Drosophila melanogaster: one gene and its partners. The protein of the gene in region 1 interacts with the protein of each later gene in a pairwise test. Each region holds a gene or a part of one and is shown in the gene's direction. Other genes may lie near its edges. The genes, in order: CG6276, CG3517, CG5674 and CG32633.

Evidence for each region.
Region 2: the proteins of CG6276 (region 1) and CG3517 interact in a two-hybrid assay, tested with the Drosophila melanogaster proteins (one large-scale study listed by BioGRID).
Region 3: the proteins of CG6276 (region 1) and CG5674 interact in a two-hybrid assay, tested with the Drosophila melanogaster proteins (one large-scale study listed by BioGRID).
Region 4: the proteins of CG6276 (region 1) and CG32633 interact in a two-hybrid assay, tested with the Drosophila melanogaster proteins (one large-scale study listed by BioGRID).

The regions. Positions count from the first base shown.
Region 1 is NT_033777.3:15,317,660-15,322,267, reverse strand, and holds CG6276 (uncharacterized protein), read left to right. Parts: upstream 1-2,198; 5' UTR 2,199-2,354; coding exon 2,355-2,441; intron 2,442-2,502; coding exon 2,503-3,828; 3' UTR 3,829-4,065; downstream 4,066-4,608. Other genes in the region: ear (ENL/AF9-related), read right to left, coding at 1-592, 664-850; CG44040 (uncharacterized protein), read right to left, coding at 1,661-1,843; CG14866 (uncharacterized protein), read right to left, coding at 4,130-4,608.
Region 2 is NT_033777.3:19,422,961-19,426,986, reverse strand, and holds CG3517 (uncharacterized protein), read left to right. Parts: upstream 1-1,787; 5' UTR 1,788-1,929; coding exon 1,930-3,078; 3' UTR 3,079-3,208; downstream 3,209-4,026.
Region 3 is NT_033779.5:17,961,025-17,966,378, forward strand, and holds the start of CG5674 (uncharacterized protein), read left to right. Parts: upstream 1-2,354; 5' UTR 2,355-2,521; coding exon 2,522-2,581; intron 2,582-3,119; coding exon of another isoform or gene 3,120-3,425; intron 3,426-3,484; coding exon of another isoform or gene 3,485-4,863; intron 4,864-4,924; coding exon of another isoform or gene 4,925-5,354. Other genes in the region: btv (beethoven), read right to left, coding at 1,711-1,992, 3,120-3,425, 3,485-4,863, 4,925-5,354.
Region 4 is NC_004354.4:13,559,660-13,564,157, forward strand, and holds CG32633 (uncharacterized protein), read left to right. Parts: upstream 1-2,011; 5' UTR 2,012-2,051; coding exon 2,052-2,058; intron 2,059-2,306; coding exon 2,307-3,157; 3' UTR 3,158-3,700; downstream 3,701-4,498.

The DNA.
Region 1 (4,608 bases):
TTATCGCGATCCTTGCTCGCCTTCTCCCTGCCCTCGTGAAACACACCCTTTCCGCCAACGGCAGCACTTTTAGCCTCCGGAGAGTGCTTGGAGACAGGCACCTGGGCCATGTTGTTGGCCGTTACGCTGGTCTTCGTGATAGGCGGACCGAAGAGGGCAGAGAAGGCATTGCTCTTTCCGGGATCCTCGCTGCGCGACTTGTGTTTCTTGCCGGTGTTTAAATCCGAGTTCATGGATATTGTACCTGGTACGCCTTTGGCTTTGACACCAGACATCTCATTACTGTGCGCTGTCTCACCGCTGCCAACACTGGGCGAAAGCGTTCGGGCGAGACTGCCGGCACCGATGTTAGCTCCGAACACTGGCACTCCACCGCCTCGCATAAGTTTCGTGCGAAACTCCTCCGACGGCGCCTCGAAAATGTGCGTCTTTACCTCGACGTGGTGCTGCGGTGGACCCGTGGACTGCAGTACCAGGTCGTACTGGTAAACAATGCGCTTGGGTTCGTCTCGGTTGCGAAAGTAAATCTCAACAGGCAGTAGGAAGCCAGCGTAGCCGGACTCCTGAATGGCATACGGCGGTTCCTTGACCACTGCAAATAAACAATTCGGGTAACAGAGTTAATCCGACTGAACTACTCCCATGATATATCGCCGCATTTACCTCGTTTGGGTTTCGGAAAGGATTCGTGCAGCACAAAGACCACCTTCTCCACAAAAGCACTGATGTCCGCCTTGTTCACGCCCTGAACGTAGATCTCCCAGTCGTGCGTAAAGGCCTGCGGATGCGGTGTCTTCTTGCTGCGCAGCTTCGACGTGTGGCCAATTTCGAATTGCACCTTGACCGCCATGCCTGTGGGTAGGGCATCAAGTTCCAGTGATTGCCTGCAATTAAGTGGTGAATTAAGATGCTACGTATTAGCGCGCCAAAACCAATGCAACTCGAGTGTGCAAGCACTTAAGCTTGATGCGACGTAAACAAATGATCGCCAGTTATGTGGAAAGGCCCAATGGATTGCCAAACGAGGTGTTAGCCAAGTATTGCGCTCCTTGCTTTCGCTTCAGTGTGCATGCGTGATTTCTAATGCGAATCCTGTGGCAGGTCACGTCCTCCAAGTCTGCGCCTGGCTTTGGAAACCTTTCAATCGGTCTCAGGATGCCCGCACTAGCTACCACATTTTGAATATCCTTTGATAACCGACGTTTTTTGTTATGATTCGCTTTGCGTTCAATTTGTTATTGTTTGTGAGCGAATGTGTGCCACAATGTGGACTTTTCATGTTGCAAGCTTTCGCCGTGTTTGTGGTTTCCTTTAGCCACATGCCCCCACCAGCCACGCTTTATACTTACTATCGCGCCGTGCGGCATTCACATGGAGATGCGCACAATTTTCAGAAAAAACGTAAAAGCTTGGAGCCAGAATCGAAGTAAATTTTGGAAAAACACAGAAAATAAAATCCAAAATGGTAAAGTGTGACCAAAGTTCGGGGCACCAAAAAATACACTTGAGTCGGGTAAAATATACTAGAATATGCGTTGCGTTTACTTTTTCTAGGGTGGCTCGTGAAATTAGTTTTAAATATGTACATATATCTAGTTTAAATTCATTCAGATTTTTAACTCGATGCATTTTTTAAAGAATAGAGTGCTTTATTTGTTTCTTAGTAGAAAAAGTATAGTTTCTTGCCACATGGTCCTTGGGGCCCATTTCCGCACGGAACTGGGGATGGTGCCGCCGAAGTGGTTGAAGTATCAGAGGAGGCTTCCGTCGTGGTTGTCGAGGTGGAGGATGCAGCGAATCCAACGATGGCGCACAGAAGGAACAGAATGGCGAAGAACTTCATCTTGATTACTCTTTTGTGACTGTGATATTTTCCCGGGGATAGTTGCTCAATTTTATACCTTTCATTTTTAGATTTGCAAATATTGACACAAATGCTTCAATTCCGCCTATGTACCAAATATCAAGAGAAAAGAAACAATTCGGCAAACACTGCGTGGTACTTAAATAATGTGTTTTGTGTTTGTTTAGAAATAGCAACACATGGAATTTCGCTTTTTGCCACTTACAGGTTAAGCTTTTAAGCATAGCACGCGGATTCAGACAAGATGATATATATATGGGAAATTTTTATATTGCATGATCATTGTTTTTAAGGAACCCGCATAAACCAAAATAGTCAGCAAAAGCTTCTGTGATCCGGAACCAGTTCGGCCGCCTGTTTGGTTCACAGCACTTAAAAGAACACTTGGGAAAAACAATAAAAATATTTCGCAAAAGTTATGGCGAACGCTGGATAAGTCAGCCAAAAATTGAATCCATCGGAGCGACTGCCTTGGAGCCACAGCCCACCCATGATGACGACCGACTTCGCGGGCAGCCAGTTCGTGTCCAGCAATCCCAACACCAGCTGTAGTGCATCCCGCTGGCTAACGGAGGAGGTATTTGCATGGATATGCAATTTGAAAATGATTTGATTCACATATTTCTGTTGTTCTGTAGGTCTTTAAACTAATCGAAATTGTGCAGCGCGACGAGGCCATCTACAATCCGAGGCACAAATACTACTTTTGCCGCCCGTACGTGGAGAACTTTTGGCGCGAGGTGGATTTGAAGCTGGAAAAGAATCCGGGCGCCAGTCTGGCCAAGTGGACCAATTTGCGCATCTCGTTCCGACGAGAGTACACCAACTATCTGGAGGAAAAGGTGCCACCCTGCTGGTCCTACTTCGACCGCATGTTCTTTCTGCATCCGTATCTACGCAAGAAGCACCAGCAGCCCAAATCGCTGGACACACAGGTGCAGGACGCCCTGGCACACCTCTCGAACCTTTCTAGTCGTATGCAGCGTGAGCGTTCAGTGACCATTCCGGGCAGCAGCAGTATTGGTGGCCAGCCCACGCCCTCCGCCCACCAGTCACCACCTGCACAGCAGCTGGACAACTATCTGGACTACTTTGACGAGGCGGAACACAACAACTCCGAGCTGGATGACATCATGGAGGAGGAGCAGCAGCGCAACAGTCGTTACCACGGCCAGTTGGACGGCAACGACATTAAGTCGGAGTGCGAGGAGCCGGTGGATGACTACGAACAAGAGGCGCACGAGCCCGAGGAGGATGAACAGGATGACCAGGACCTACACAAGATGGCGCCTACTTCTAGCTCTTCATCGGCGGAGGCCCAGCGTCGTTATGCCAACCAGCATTCACACGCCAGCCGAATGCTTCCGGGTCGCCTCCAAATGCGCACCTACCATGACGAGATGCGTGGCGCTATTCGTCCGCGTTCCCAGGAACTCCAAGCTCCAACTGCAGCAGTGGCCGGGGTCAACTACTCCGCACAGCCGACTGCCCATCCAAACATTTCGTTTGTGCGACCTACTTTCAGCAAGCCCGTGGATTTGGTTAGCACTACAACGCACGCCGGAGGCGGAGGAGGAGGAGGTGTTCCAGGAACTGCTGGCTTATCCGAAGCGGAACTGCCCACACCATCCACTGCGGCCGTGGCCACCCCGATGGCGCCCAGTAGTAGTGTTAGTGCCAGCAGTAGCAGTAGCTACTTGAGTCAACGGCATGGGCACAACCATATGCATGGAGGACATCCACAGGTGCCGCCGTCAGCGCTTCCTCTGCGTTTGGAAGCCAACAACGCGTCCGGCGGATCCGTGTCCAACGGCGGTGCGGAGCTGTGCGACTGCAAGACCGATCCGGATGCCATGTTTCTGATGAGCCTGCTGCCCGACATCCAAAAGCTGAACGGCCGTGATCGCGGCAAGATAAAGATAGCCTTCCAGAACATCCTGCAGGACTACCTGTATCCGGATTAGCGTTGATCTCTGTGTATACCTTCCGCTTAACGCAAACGGAACCCAGTTCCAGTATCGATTTTGTTTAATATTCTCTTTTGTATTTTCGTTGGAGAAAAAAAAAGAATCCTTTAAGCTTCGCTGTGCAAGAACAAAGTATCCTTAAAAACGTTTTGAAAACTATCCGGTATGTTTATTAATTGTATAAATATTTATAAATATTTAATGTGTAACACAAGAATAAATTCATTTGAAATTATGCGATATATGGCTAGGTAACTTGAAGTATCACATGAGGATCGGAATGGGTTGCATCCCATCCTCACTCGAACAGCTTCAGCTCGCGGGTGATCTTCTTGATCTTGTTGTCCAGCGTCTTGTCCTCGTGCTCGCAGATGTAGTAGTGCCGCGAGGTGCACTCCTGTCCGTAGTACACATAGCTGTGCTTTCCGGCATTGTAACTTAGCCGTAGGCAGCGACCCTTGCCCTCTATTTGCACCGTGTTGTTCAGCACATCCTCGCCGGTCGCCTCCTCTGCCGCCTGCTCCGAACTGTCCACCAGATTGGCGGCCGTCGAGTTCTCCCCCTTCTGGGCCATCGCAATGGATGTGAGATTCATGTTGGGATTCACCGGCTTAGCCGAATTGGACCAGATCCAGAGGAGGCCAGGATTGAGACCGCCCAGCCAGTAATCGCGACCACGATGCGTCGGCTGATTCAGCAGATAGGCCATGATCTCCTCATTCTCCGAGACCTTCTCGAACTCGGCCAGGTGGGAGTTTAGACCCTTGCAGGCAGAGT
Region 2 (4,026 bases), 4.1 Mb from region 1:
TAAAGCTGGATTATTTACAGACCAGATCTGTGGAAAAGTTTAACAGAGTGTGAACGACGCCTTAAAATTGGTTTAAAACAAGTGTTTATCATCCTGCAAACAAATTCGCACTTCAGGATAAAATATATATTAATCATATGGCAACCGTTATGATATTTTGCCAAACTTATTTTTGTTCTGTAACAATTTAAGCAGAGTTCAAAGTTTATTACTTTTAAAATGGTTGGCATATATCTTCAACATTAAAATATATCTAATATCAATCGATTAAACGAAACCTTAAAAAATATTACATAATCGGTGTTTTGCATAAATCTCTACAGATACATTTCGTGCCATTTGCTGTACATAAAACAATTTCCAGAGGTATTTTATTTCTGCTCGGAAAAATGGTTTCGATTGTAACTTTATACGGCAGACAGGTACTCCTATTGCCGCCTGACCATCGCCACGTGTCCGTTCCATGCTGTCAACTTTTATTGTTAGAGAAACGAATATGAATTTCTTGTGGGTCGCTTTTCCATTTTCCAAGAAAAATTGCCGGCTAACGAAGTCCGGCCGATAAGGCCCCGGCAACAACAGTTGGCCATTTTGTCTGGCCAAGATTTATGCGCGATTGCTCAAGTTTTATGAGTTACGTAGTTGCATTTTAGCCTAAAGAAAAAAGAAACAAGAGCCCGAAGGTTGTGGATTGAAATCGCTCATCTTCAGGACCGCACCGCGCTGCTATTTCATTATGAGTTAAACAAAGTTGTAACGACTTTTCTCCCTTTTTTTTTTTTTTGTCTGCGACAGATTATGGGGCTTTTGTGCTCTGCGATTAAAGCCAGTTTTCTTACACTTATGGCCAAAAAGTTCCCTGATATGCAAGGGGTCAAGTTGGAAGGACATTGAGCAAATGAAGATTTACATTCGTCAGCGATTTTTTTCCGTTCGCCTTTTCCATTAGAATAAATGTTATTAGATGACTCTTCGGTTCCCGTGACATTTGTCAACAGGAAACGGATATGGCAAAGCTTGTCTAATAAATTCTTTGATGTATTTACGCTGACGTTTCCCTTGGGAACGAGCTCAGGATGTCGTACTTTATTTATGCCACTGCCAGACGCATTTCTCACTCCCCAATGAATCATAAACTGACTCAATGCCGTCATCAACAATTACGAATGTATCCCGCCCAAAAAAAAAAAAAGGACATCCATTACGAAGGCCGCAAAAAGAGAAATGAAATGTCGCGTCGCCTACTTGGCGGCTGCCTGAAAATTTCCACTGTTGGCTTAACAAATATTTGACCCATCGAAACTTATACGTGTGTCTACAAGGAATGGGCAAACAAACGAAAACACAACTCAAACAATCTATGCCGTATCAAATGCCGCTTAGCCCCCGACAACATGAAAAGCCAAGAAAGTAACCAAATTTGGAGAAAATCCTGAGGCTTTGCCTTGTTATCTGACACTTGTGTTTATTTTGGGAATAGAAACACAATTTGGCCAAGAAAAACTTGGTTTTATAAAATGTTGTATGTTTTCATACCTTTACAGTACGACAATCTTTCCAAACAAAAATAGTGAATATTTTATTCTCTGATAAACGGAAAAGCATTTGATTGTTAAGAGACTTACAAATGAAAATGTACTGCGGATGTAGTTTGATTTATTGCAACAATTGTATTTCGCACTTGTGGTTATTTTTAAAAAAAACGAAATATTCCATTCCCGTTTTAGTTTACCAAATGGGAAAAACTCGAAATCTAGCAGCAATTGATCATTTTAAATCCTGTCAGGCGAACATTCGCCCATAACATTCATTTGGCTTGTCTCGTTTTATCAACTAGTTAGAAAAAAACTTTTAGGTAAAAAATTCGAAAATTGTTCATGCTGCAAGGAGTAGCGAACAGCATCAAAATAGAGGTAAGACCGATTCGCGATGCAGGCCCATCATGCGATGCCCGATTTCCGATGCCGGAATAATTGCCAGCACAAGGAGTGCCAGAGGCATGCTCCTTTGGGCATAATCGATCAGCACACCCAGTGCAAGTGCTTGGGCGAGGTAAATGCCTCATCGATTTTCCTAGAAAATGTCCTGGACCTGGCCAACACTTTGGCCCAGGTGATGATCATCTGTGGACTGCACGAGTGCAAAGCGAAATCAACCGTGGACATTATCACATATGCCTTCTTGCATTACGATCAGGTGTGCTATTGCATTGATACCACGCCCAAGAAGCGACTGAGAAAGGAGGATTTGTTCCACGAGCTGGGCAAGAAGTCGCTGATGAACAAGGTGGAGGCCCACTTGGCCTATGCCATCATCAAGAGGGGATTCAAGGCCTTCTACTACGAGCCGAAAGTGGACTTGACCTACGATGAGCAAGGCAGACCCTCGTACAACGATGAATGCGTCTGGGTCCACGCAGCCAGGAAGTCAGCCGAGTCCTATGCCCGCTTCGATGGCCTCTCCTGCGCCGAACAGTTGGCATACGAGGCCAAGATCAAAATAGCCTTCAAGAAGTTCTACGATCGCATGCAGACGCGCAAGAGGCAGCCGGAGGGCGACGATTGCAACTGCTGCTTCTGTGCCAAGAAGCGGGGACATCTGGTCTATGCCAAGGAACCGACTCCCTGCACTTCCAACAAAAAGAAGCCCAAGCACGTGTGTCCATATTGCTGCAAGAAGAAGCAGAAGCAGCAGTACACACACCCTGCTCGCCAGCCGGCCAAGTGCCCCAAGTGCCACAAGTCGCGCAAGTTCTGCTGCTGCACCAAAATGGACTTCAACTTGCAGTGGGTCAAGAGCATATGGGAGCGGCCGGACTTCAATCAGTACTACAAGAACGAGATCGCCGAAATCGAGGACCGCCTGGTCAAGGGAACCTGCTGGCTGCCGCCGGAGCCTGAGGAGAAGCTGCTCGATGAGGGCGAGGGCGAGGAGGAGGAGGAAGCCCACCAGGAAATGTCGCCGGAGGCTCTCCTCGCCCTCGGCGGCAAAACGGTGCCCACTATACCGGATGAAGGAAACGGTTCTCCACTGGCCACCAAACAGCCGTCGATCACCGAGGGTGAGGGCGAGACCTAAGTTTGAAGGATCCTGCGAATCGGCGCTTGCTAGATTTCTAAATTTTACTTTACTCTTGAGGAAAGCAGTTCTCAAAATTTTCAGTTCCAGCTGTTCTTCAACAATTTATCATTAAAGTTGTACTCAAGCTAGTTTATGTACTTTTCTGTAAACAAGGTTTCTTTTATTTTCGTTCCACATAGCCATGGTATCATTAAAGGATTAAGAGCCTTTCAAAAGTAAATTTTTCGAAGAAGTATAGCTCTTAAACAAAATTACTGCCAGACCTAAGGTAGCTCAAATGTTTAATAAAAGGTTTAAAATCAGAAGTTCATTCAATTGAATCTGGTTAAATTCCACCAACTTCACTTTTAATTACCCAAAGTAATGGCTCGAAAATAAGGGGAAGTGAGGAGGTCATATCAACTGCCTTATATTAAGACGGAAAATTGAGTTTGCTCTTAGGGGACACACACACCTAGCTCGAACAAACACGGCCGCATCCATTTGGCCCACTCACACTCTTGGCCACTTGGAAAACTAAACCGGCTGCGAAGAGCTGTGACCTGTGTTGGTGTCTGTGTCTACTTTGGCCGAAAGTGGCATGCAACAGTAATGGAAAATACATTTAATCTGGCTTATGCAGCAGCTCGGCCCGACGATAACTCGGGCGCACTTCATCACAGCACTTGCGGCTGAGCAACCCACCTAGGAGAACACCTCTCTTTGAGCTGGAAAAGTGAAAATGTGGGAAAGCGTTCAGGCAGCCCAGAGGCAGCCATTTCTCTCACCTGGAGAAAAGTGAAAAATGCTGAAATGTTGACCATGGTCATGACGGCTGCTGCCTTGAACTTCCCTGGATAAACTTTTCGCATTGCAAATGCATGAAAACTTTCCCTTTTGTTTATGTGCACTTCACTCAACTTTCGCTCTCCAACCGAACAAAACGCACACTTTTGGCCAACAATG
Region 3 (5,354 bases), on another chromosome or scaffold:
GAGCACCCAATAAATGGAGTAAGTGGTATTCAAGTGAATGGTAAAGGGGAATTGCCATTTAAATGGCATCCCGGGTCCGGAAGAGGAGCCAAAGTCAAAGAAGACTCACTGACAAAGGGCAAAGCCCAGCTGCAAAGTCAAAAGTGCGGCATGAGTGCAAACTGATTAATCACATTTGGTGGGCTTACATTTATGGCAGATGTGGGGACATATTCGTGTGTATGTACCAGGAAATGGGCGGCAAACACATGCAGATGTCACATTAGCCTTATACTTTAATTAATTTCTAATCCCAGCTCATTGAAGGCGGCTGCAATTAGATGGCGACGCCGTTGCTTGTAGGCTGGCAAGGATTACAAGGATGTGGCCGCTTGGCCCCGACATTTGTCAAACACTAAACACTGAAGAAGCCAAAGGAGGATATCAATTTGTGCATTTGAGTGTAAAGTACGGATTCGCCTGCCCATCAACTGCAAATTAGACATTCAAAATTTAATCGGCAATGCAAGTTTTTGGGGATTTTGGGGCGGGCACATAATTAAGCTGCAACTTTGTGGGGATTATTCAATGCGAATTGGAATCAACCAAAACCACAAGCTTTTAACATTAAATGCGATGAACTATTTGGTTAAGTTGGTAATCCAGCATTGCGGCGGGTGAAATAGTTTAAGGGCCTCATTAATGTGGTTGCGGCTTGGGAATATTTTGGAAATTGATCTTTATGTAGCCTAAATGCATAAGAAGGAGGTCTTTAAACTGTTCTTCCTTGTAGCTAATTGGATTTGAAGTTCGGAGCGGAGTTTATGTATCTTTTGATATACACATTCACTTTATATCCTTACTCAATTACCTTTTCAGCCTTATCGCGCTGCCTAATTCCTTAATCCGCAACTAAATTTCCATTTGAAGCGTAATAAATTATTTATTCTCAATAGCCGACAGCACAACAAGTTGGGAAAGGCGTACAACAAAATCTGAGAAGTCTGCATAGCTAAATTTGCAAAATGTGTTAACAAACTGCCACGCCCACCGATACGAGGCACTGTGATTTGTGCGGAGGGCAATTTATATGCCACAGAAGCCGGCTGCCACGCCCCCTTCTCGGTACCGGGAGGCACTTTACACTCAAATTGTGTTAATTTGCATATTGGAAACTTTTGCCTAATTGAACATAATGCCACTTAATTAAAGTTAAGACAAGTTTTTGACGGTAAAATGGTTTTGGGCCTGGGGGATGTCGGGGATGTCTTGGCAACTAAAAGTATGCCCGACATTTATGGCAGTTTGTTGTTGAAATTTACGGCAATTAGTTTAATATGAGCAGATTATGAGGGACACAGGACGCAATAAAATCCCTTCGGCGGTGGCAAATTAATTTTTAGGGGCATCCCCGAATAAACACAGACACTGAGACATATGGAAATCAATTAGCTCTTCAGAGTCTAAGTCCTCGCCTTAAATGTTTAATGGCCCATTTTTATGTTTGCCTTTGGCTGCCTAATTGTTAGTTGTTTAAATATTTACTTAGAATTAGTTGGGACCCAAATGACAGCGTGTCAAGGGTAGGAAACTAATGTTAAAAGAGTTTCGTTTGGTTTTTATTTAATATTTGCGAAGGTGAATTGCTATTCAAGTGTCAGTCCAACACATTCTTCGCTTCTCTACATATATATTTGAAATATATTGGTATAAAATAATATTGAGTGGTGTTTAATAATCTTCGACTATTAGCGCTGTTCCGGCCAAGAGAATTTGTTCCGCAGTTCCGGTCACAATATCAACATTTAGGTGGCAAATCAATTTGTCGCGACTGCTCCGAGAATATAATGGGAGTTTGGGCTTCGATTCAGCATTTTGCGTGGAATATAGCGAATTTTTGCCGTATTTTGAGGAACTAGTAGTCGTATGACTGACATTTTGTACTTCGTCTTTTATTTTGTACTTGATGTAGAAGGGGTTCGATTTTCCCATTCCACTCTGGGCGCCATCAATCTGTAATGGAAAATGAATAGTGCCAAGTTTAGTTACTAATGAAATACTTAGATATATTCCACATTACATATATTCACAATTGCTAAAAACAAAAAAAAAGGCGAAAAGCGGGTAGATGATTTGCAAAGTTTATTCTCCAAGTCCTAAAATGTATATACAAAAAAATAGTTATTTGTTTTTTTACAGTGTTAGTTCTAGCAGGTACACCCATCAGGGCATAGCGGATGCACTCCCCATAGTCAGCTTCCAAACCGATTATCGATTGGCATCGAATACGTAGATATACAAACGAGAAGGGAAAGTAAAATGTAAGTTTGTGCTCAGAACTGCTTATCGATAGGCATCGGACAAGGTGCCATCTCTAATTCCCCCTCTTGTACCGGAATGTCAATCAAATGAAAACAAAAAAAGCGGCGTGAGAAAACTGAAAAGAACGGGCATCCAGTGCACATTTCAAGCTTAATTTCGATGCATTGAACGGCGGCGGCGCACCGAAAACAGGAGGCGCAGGATTACGGATACGGAAGCTATGGAAACGGCCAGAATGGAGACGGCGATGGAGACACATTTTATGGCCAAAATGGGGAAGGTGAGGAACAAAGACAAGAAGCAAACGGGCAAGAGGGAGAGAAGATGTCATCAGTCTTCGTCCCAAAAGATAAATAAGTATCTTTTGGGATTTTGGATTGGGGGAATCAATTTGGACTATGGATGTATGCATATCTACTATCCAGGTAATCCGTAACAGAGTATTGTTACTGTTACTACTACTACGTGTGCATCCAATTGTATCTGATATAGCAACCTGGCAAAATGTATCCCAAAATTATTTCTCAATGTTTATTGTATTTACTGTAACGCTTCTCGAGGGCTTATGATATTTAATGGTTATCCCCAACTTAACCAATGCGCCATCTACCGCGAATATTATAGTTATGGCAATTTCTTGGCTGATTATCCTGCGATTAGTTAAATTTCCTTTTATGGCTTCGAAATATATTCTTAGTCGCTAAAGAAGAAGACATAGAAGACATAACCCCTTGAATCATGAGTAAGTGGCTTGCTGAATTTGATTTCACAACTTGATGTCAAAACATTATCGGTTAAAGATACTAATTCTTACTCACCTTTAGCGGCGCCAGCTTGAGTATTATGTCCGAAGAATCACTTTCCAAGTTTGAGGAGCCGCAAGTTTGCAACTCCAGGCGTTCGGTGGAAACTGCCAGTTTTCGAGACTGCAGCAGCTTTAAACAGGACAACAGGTTCTCACAGTTAAACACCTGGACGAAATTGATATCCTCTACAAAATCCAGATGCATTTGCTCCCGGAATCGAAGTTCGGCAGCCTGGGCTCGAACGATTAGGGCTCTTAAAAAGTCCACGGCACTGTTGCTGCCAGGTCCAGGCCATAGTTTAAGCCAACTGGCAGGAATCTATGAATTTCAGTTTATTATGCATTTTCAAGTTACGTTACTGTACCCCAGTTTCTTACCTGCTGTTCTGCCAGAGTTCTCAGAGTGCTGCCATCCACCTCCTGCGACTCCTTAAGCCAGGCATGCATCTGCGACAAAGTCTGGTGAACTATGCCGTAGAGATCCGCCCCTAGTTTCAGTTCAGCCAGCACAAAAAGTGCCCAGGGAGATTCACCCACATCAGTTTTTGCCTCCTTCATAGTCTGGATTATGGTACACGAAGCCGCCAACTTTCTCCATAGATTCAGTAGGGGTTTAATTTGCTGTTCCAGCTTCTGACGACCAGTGAGCTGATCGTTTCCCTTAGACTCTCCTGCTCCTCCAGAATCCTTAGCCAAGCCTCTTCCGTAATGCAATCCCCTGAGTTCCTTTATCACTCTTTTGGCCTGTTCAATTTCGCGTTGCTGTTGTGCCTGATTGGCCAAACCATACATACTGGGCTCATCTGTGTCAGGAAGTTTCTCCAATGCAGCGTAGTAGTCCTGCAGTTGACCGCTAGTTGGTATGGATAGAGATAATCCAAGAGGTGACCAACGATTGCTTAAGACGTCCGCTGAACAAAACTGGTTCAGATAGGTTGTGAGTATCTCCAGATCCCTCTGATTATTTACTCTTCCGCCATAAGCGAGGGCTTCACTGAGACGTTGCATCAGCAACCAATCGCATTTTCCTGAATTAAGTTGCTGATCCATCATTCTTAGGATACCCAGAGCCGCTTTTAGATCTGCCTCACCGAATTCATAGTATTTTGACCAACCTTGTGGTATAAACTGTCGCCTTTGTTGAAGCACAGCTGTTAGGACAAAATAAACCAGTCTCATCTTGAGGCTCTTTGGTTGGTTTTTAAGCTTTTGATCCTGTTCAGCAGCGAAGTTCTGGAGCAAACGCATCACAATCTGCTTTAGTCCCTTAGGCTGCTCATAACGTACTTTAAGGCATTTATAAATGGCAGCTTCGGAAAATCCCTCGGTTGATTCGCACAATAGCCACAATCGAAAGTCTTTCGATTTTTGAATTTCACTTAATTCCCTTTCCATTTGAGTTAGAAATTCCGGCACCAAATGGACATTCTTAACGCATAACCAGTGGCCATCTATGGCAGCCTGACGCATTTCGGAGAGAACTCTTTTCTCAACACCTTTTCCAATAGCCATTTCTCTATACTTTTGATTGGCCCACTTTCTCAATTCAGTTGTTGGATCATTTTCCGCATGACTAACCATCAAAATCGGGCGATCACAGCTGCTCTGCTGCAGCAACTGCTCCACAGAAGGTTGGGTGGAGGCATCTGGGGAAATTCCCAGCAGATCGCTACTCACTTTTCGCAGTTGGTGAAGCATCAAGTCGGGTCGGAAAATCTGAGCAATAAGCACACGCTGGAAGCTGGACCCCAACGCAGCTGTAAGTTCGAAAATAAATCTGAATAAGATGAAATTAACTAAATTATTTCTACAACTTACGTAGCACATCATCCGCTTGAGCCTCAATGAATCCGCGCCAGATATAGTCCTTCTCCAACTGGAGCTTGCTTCGCAAATCTGGGAACAATTGGAGTAACATAGCCAGCTTTAATTGCGCTTCCTTGGGCATGCAGTCGGGCAGTTTTCCAAGCTGACTTAGCACCATACTGCCATCAGAACTACCCATGAAATTGTTCACAAACAGCTCCCACTCCTTGGGGTTTAATCTATCGGGATATGCCTGATGACAAACCCACAAGGATAAGGATAGCTGGCTATCTCTAGAAGTAGCTCTAGCTAAATTCATATAAACACTTCGTACAAGACAATCATAGACCTTGGACTCATCTCGTTGACTTTTGGAAAGAGCCCCCAAAAATAGTTCAATGTAAACAAGAGGGGATAATTCATAGCCCTGGATGAGGCCTGC
Region 4 (4,498 bases), on another chromosome or scaffold:
CGCGAGGGAGGAGGAATCCAAACCCAAGCCCAAAGCCAAAGCCAGACCAGTCGCAACCGCAGACCCACGTGAGTGACCGGCGACGACTAGACAGTGCGAGTCCATGCTTGGATGCATACATACATACATACATATGTATGTGTGCGTCTGGATGTGACCCACGGCGATGGCCCCTGAAACCAGGATGCACCTAGCCCAGAAGCAACCCTCCTGCGTTCGCCGCCCCTGGCTACCCTCGAAAAACTGCCGCATTGTGTGGCCAGAAAGCGAAACCGCGACTGCAACTGGCCCTGCAATAGAAAATGCACTGCAAAAAAACTGGGAGTATGTATTTAAAGTACTTGATAAAGTTGGATTATTAAATAACACAATTAAATTTAATATTAATAGAGAAGTAGTATTCTTATCAAGATGAGAACTAAGGAGCTATGTTAATCTTGAACCAGGTGTGGCCAACTTTATTTTTCACAGTGTGGCAAGGATAAGCAAAGCGACCAGAAAAGTATAACCAGCAAAGATGGACCCATGGAGAACGGATGCGAATCGAGAGCGGAAAGCGTGACAGATAGATGGGTTGGAGCAGCAAGGGGTTAATGAAGGAGGGCATTTAGTTCGTGGTACTGTGGAAATGATTAAAATGTATTAGGTGAAATTAAGTTGGCCAAACAGAGAAATGGGGGGGGGGGGTTTAAATAAAGAGGCCAAAATGAGGTTAAAACGTTGCACAAAGCCAAATGGAGCCTGGCTGGGCGAAAACAAATTCATTAGGCTGCAGTGGCATAAAAACATCATACCCACAAAAAGAAGATGCACAACGAAAACCGAACAAAGTTGATTTAAAGTATTATAATCTGCAACATTTTTGCGTATTTCGAGAATGCAGCTTGTTTACCCAGTTTGAAGTCAAGTTAGACTTATCTCTGGTTAATTGGTTTGCTCGAGAGCAGGGCGCGCAAAGCTGCTGGGAAATCGTGGAAAAATCGTAAAGCTTAATAATGACACTCCCCACACAGCCCCTACCACCAGTCCAGCATTGGGAATTCACAAGCCACTGTAAACAGGTGCAAACGTTGCGTTGCACAGCAATTTCAGCAACCCCTCTTAACTTTTGCGCCCAGCTTTCCACGTTTTCCCTTGTTCAAATAGTTGTAAATGGGCGAAAATGCAAACAAAAAACAGTGATCCACTTGAAAGGCAAAACAAGAAAAATCATTCAAAGAGGCAACAATGCTGGGAAAACAAAAGGAAAACGAACGAAAACGAACTGCAAAGACAGCGACCACTAAATAAGTGAAGTGCGTGGACGACTGGACGAGTGGAAATGCGGAAAAGTGGGAAAGCGGAAAAGCGCGCGCAAGAAATTTGCAATGTGGCGAATAAATAAAGGATCAAGCGATTCCCCCATTCAAATTGGCGAATATTGGGCGGTTAAATGGAGATACATGCACGGATGTAAGGCAACTCGAAAAGGTGGCACAACAAATGAACGAGATAACTGGTTAACCACGAGTTGTAAACGCGCAAGCTATTGTTATTAGTATGTTAAAAAGCGGAATAAACTTTTTGTGTTTAACTACAGCTCCATGAAATATGTATATGCTATATGTAACAAACAATAAGCGAGAAAGTTTGTCGGCAACAAAAAAAAAAGTAATAACCATTATGATATTATGAATGCAATTACATTCTTGACGACTCGAAAGAATTTTAAATGTATAAATTATAACGAGATAAAAAAATAAAATATAAATCAAATTTACTTAACATTTATAACATTTCTAGTGCAATATTTACTTTCACTATATGGGTTAATAAAATAAACTTGCCTGTTTCTCGATGTTAAACCCCATTACTTCCAATTGGCCAATCGATTAGAAATTCAACAAGAGTTTGCCAAGATCTGAGTCACTTGAGGTCGGGCTTCTTATCTGGCCATGTAGGTATATTCCCGATAAGCCCTATCAGCGACATCGAGGCGGAAACACAAAAAGACCATCAAATCGACCACTTTCACAGTTGAAAGTCAGAGCTGCTGAAGAACGGACAAGAAAATGGCAGGTAAATAGGTCGTAAGGCCAAGATGCCATAACAAAAAATGAAAACATTTAACTAGGTGGATGATATAAAACAGTTACCAATCTTTAAAGTACTTAATCAGTTGAAACTCAAAATAAATTAATTCAATTTTGGAAACTAACTTGGCCTAGCCAAATAAACTAGTTTACTTGCCATGAACAACAGAATTAAAGAGTTATACCATTCGGTGTGCTGTTAAATAATCGTTTCATTTTTCCATTATCCCCCAGACCACAGATGGATGCACTTCAGCAACGGCAGCGTGCCGCCGAATGCCGTGGTGGCTGGTCACGATTCGGACGGGGACACCATCTACGTGGGCCGTGCCTTCTTCTCCAACGACATGCTGCCGGCGAAGGTGATTCCCAACAAGGGCAAGGCCTACGTGGCGTATGCGCGCGAGGAGCACGAGCTGGAGAACTACGAGGTGCTTTCCGGCTACAACTACGAGTGGCTGTCGGCGGAGAACGGGGAGGTGCCGCCGGGCGCCGTCAAAGTTGGTCGGAATGTGGACGGCGAGTATTTGTATGCGGGCAGGGGTTATCATGCCGGCAGCTTAACCATGGGCAAGGTGCATCCATCCCACGGCTGCCTGTATATTCCCTACGATTCCGATGAGGTTAAGATCTTTGCCTACGAGGTGCTGTGCCAGCCGGAACGTTGGATCGACACCACCGCAACAAATATTCCGGATGGAGCTCTGGTTGCTGGGCACGATTCCAACGGGGACACCATCTACGTGGGCAGGGTGTTCCGCAATGGTGATCTGCTGCCAGCCAAAGTGGTGCCGGCGAAGGGGAAAGCCTATGCCGCCTATGCCCAGGCGGAGCACGAGCTCACCGACGTCCAGGTGCTGACGGGATCCGGATTCCGTTGGGTTCCGGCCTCGCACGGAAATGTGGCTCCCGGAGCCCTGTCCTCCGGTCCGAATGTCGACGGGGAGCCCCTCTACGTCGGCAGGGCCATCTACTGCGACAGCTTGAGTGTGGGCAAGATCCATCCCTCGCACGGCTGCATCTACATCCCATTCGGTGGCGAGGAGGTGCGTCTGGAGAATTACGAGGTTCTGGTGAGGATCTAGACGGACAGCTTTGCCTTTATTCCATTTTTTTTTTAATAAATCTATTTTTTACACACACAACAGAAGTATACAGATTAAAGTATAAATTTAAGTTTAATTCGATCGACATCGAGCAACGTAACTGATAAAATTTATGGTAATGCACCCAGTAATTCTAAAAAAAAAGTACCCCTTTCATAGAGTTTTGGTGATAATAGTTCAAAGTGGTTGTCATAGAAATTTCGAGGTATTGCGGATGTGAGGAATTTCTTCTATATGCGGGCCTTATGTTATCACATCGGTTATCAATTAGCAACAATCAATTGATTAGTTGGCCATAAATTTGCGTCAACTTGTAACATAATTAACCATTTGCCTTCGCCCACTGACTTAACAAACACTGCATCGTAAAACTCAGACAGATATCGCAGTTATCAGAATGTGTACATATATGCACTCGATGCTTTATAACTCGACCTTTCGTCTGCCGAGGTAAAAAGTTATAGGTATCGAAACTCTTTGTAACTTTCTTTGTATATTGAAAAGTTTATTAAAACGTTTCATAAAGTTAAAGTCAATTCATTAGTGGCGGGCGTAGCGTTTTATTTCATAGCTTATTAATGTGCACACGTTGTAATCAATACATGTTTTAAGCACTTATTTGACAGCACAAAGTTTCCCATGGAAATACTTTTTTTCGCAATTTATTTTATAGGAAAGTTGCTAAAAGGCCTTAATCTTAACACTATCATTGGCGCCACCTATGAGATGATTATCTGCACTAACCGTGGCGCCACCTATGACGAGCTGGAGAAAGTCGAGCCGTAGCAGTTTGCCTAACCGCCGACAGCTGGCGATTTAAGCTTTCGACTGGTTCCTGTCTTGGCTAAATGCATTGAGCTTTCTTTTCCAGTGTGACCGTTCCAGCGTAGTAACCAAACACCACGCCACACCATTGCGCCATACAGATATTTTAGGTAATTTCAGCGACGCCGCAGTCGACGTGCAGCCCGCTGCGCCCGACGGTCACACTCTGCCCCCAAACAGCTCCAAAATCGGTTGTCGTCGCGAAAAGTGCGAATCGAGTGCATATTTGCTGCAAAAAGAAGCGAGAACACGGTGACGTGACGAAAGCATTCGAGTGACGAAGAGTGCGAGCGCGCTGCATTTGTTTACGATTCCGATTCCGATGCCATTGGTCAATTGGTAAGGGGCTTTGGGAAGTGTAAGAGGAAGAGCGTGCGGCGCGGCAAGTAACGAAAGAAGAAGAAGCAGCAGCAGCAGGGCACACGCAACGTGCAACATTGTGTGCGAGCGTGTGTGCGTGTTTGTTTGTTTGTGTGACAAAAATACAACAAGTGC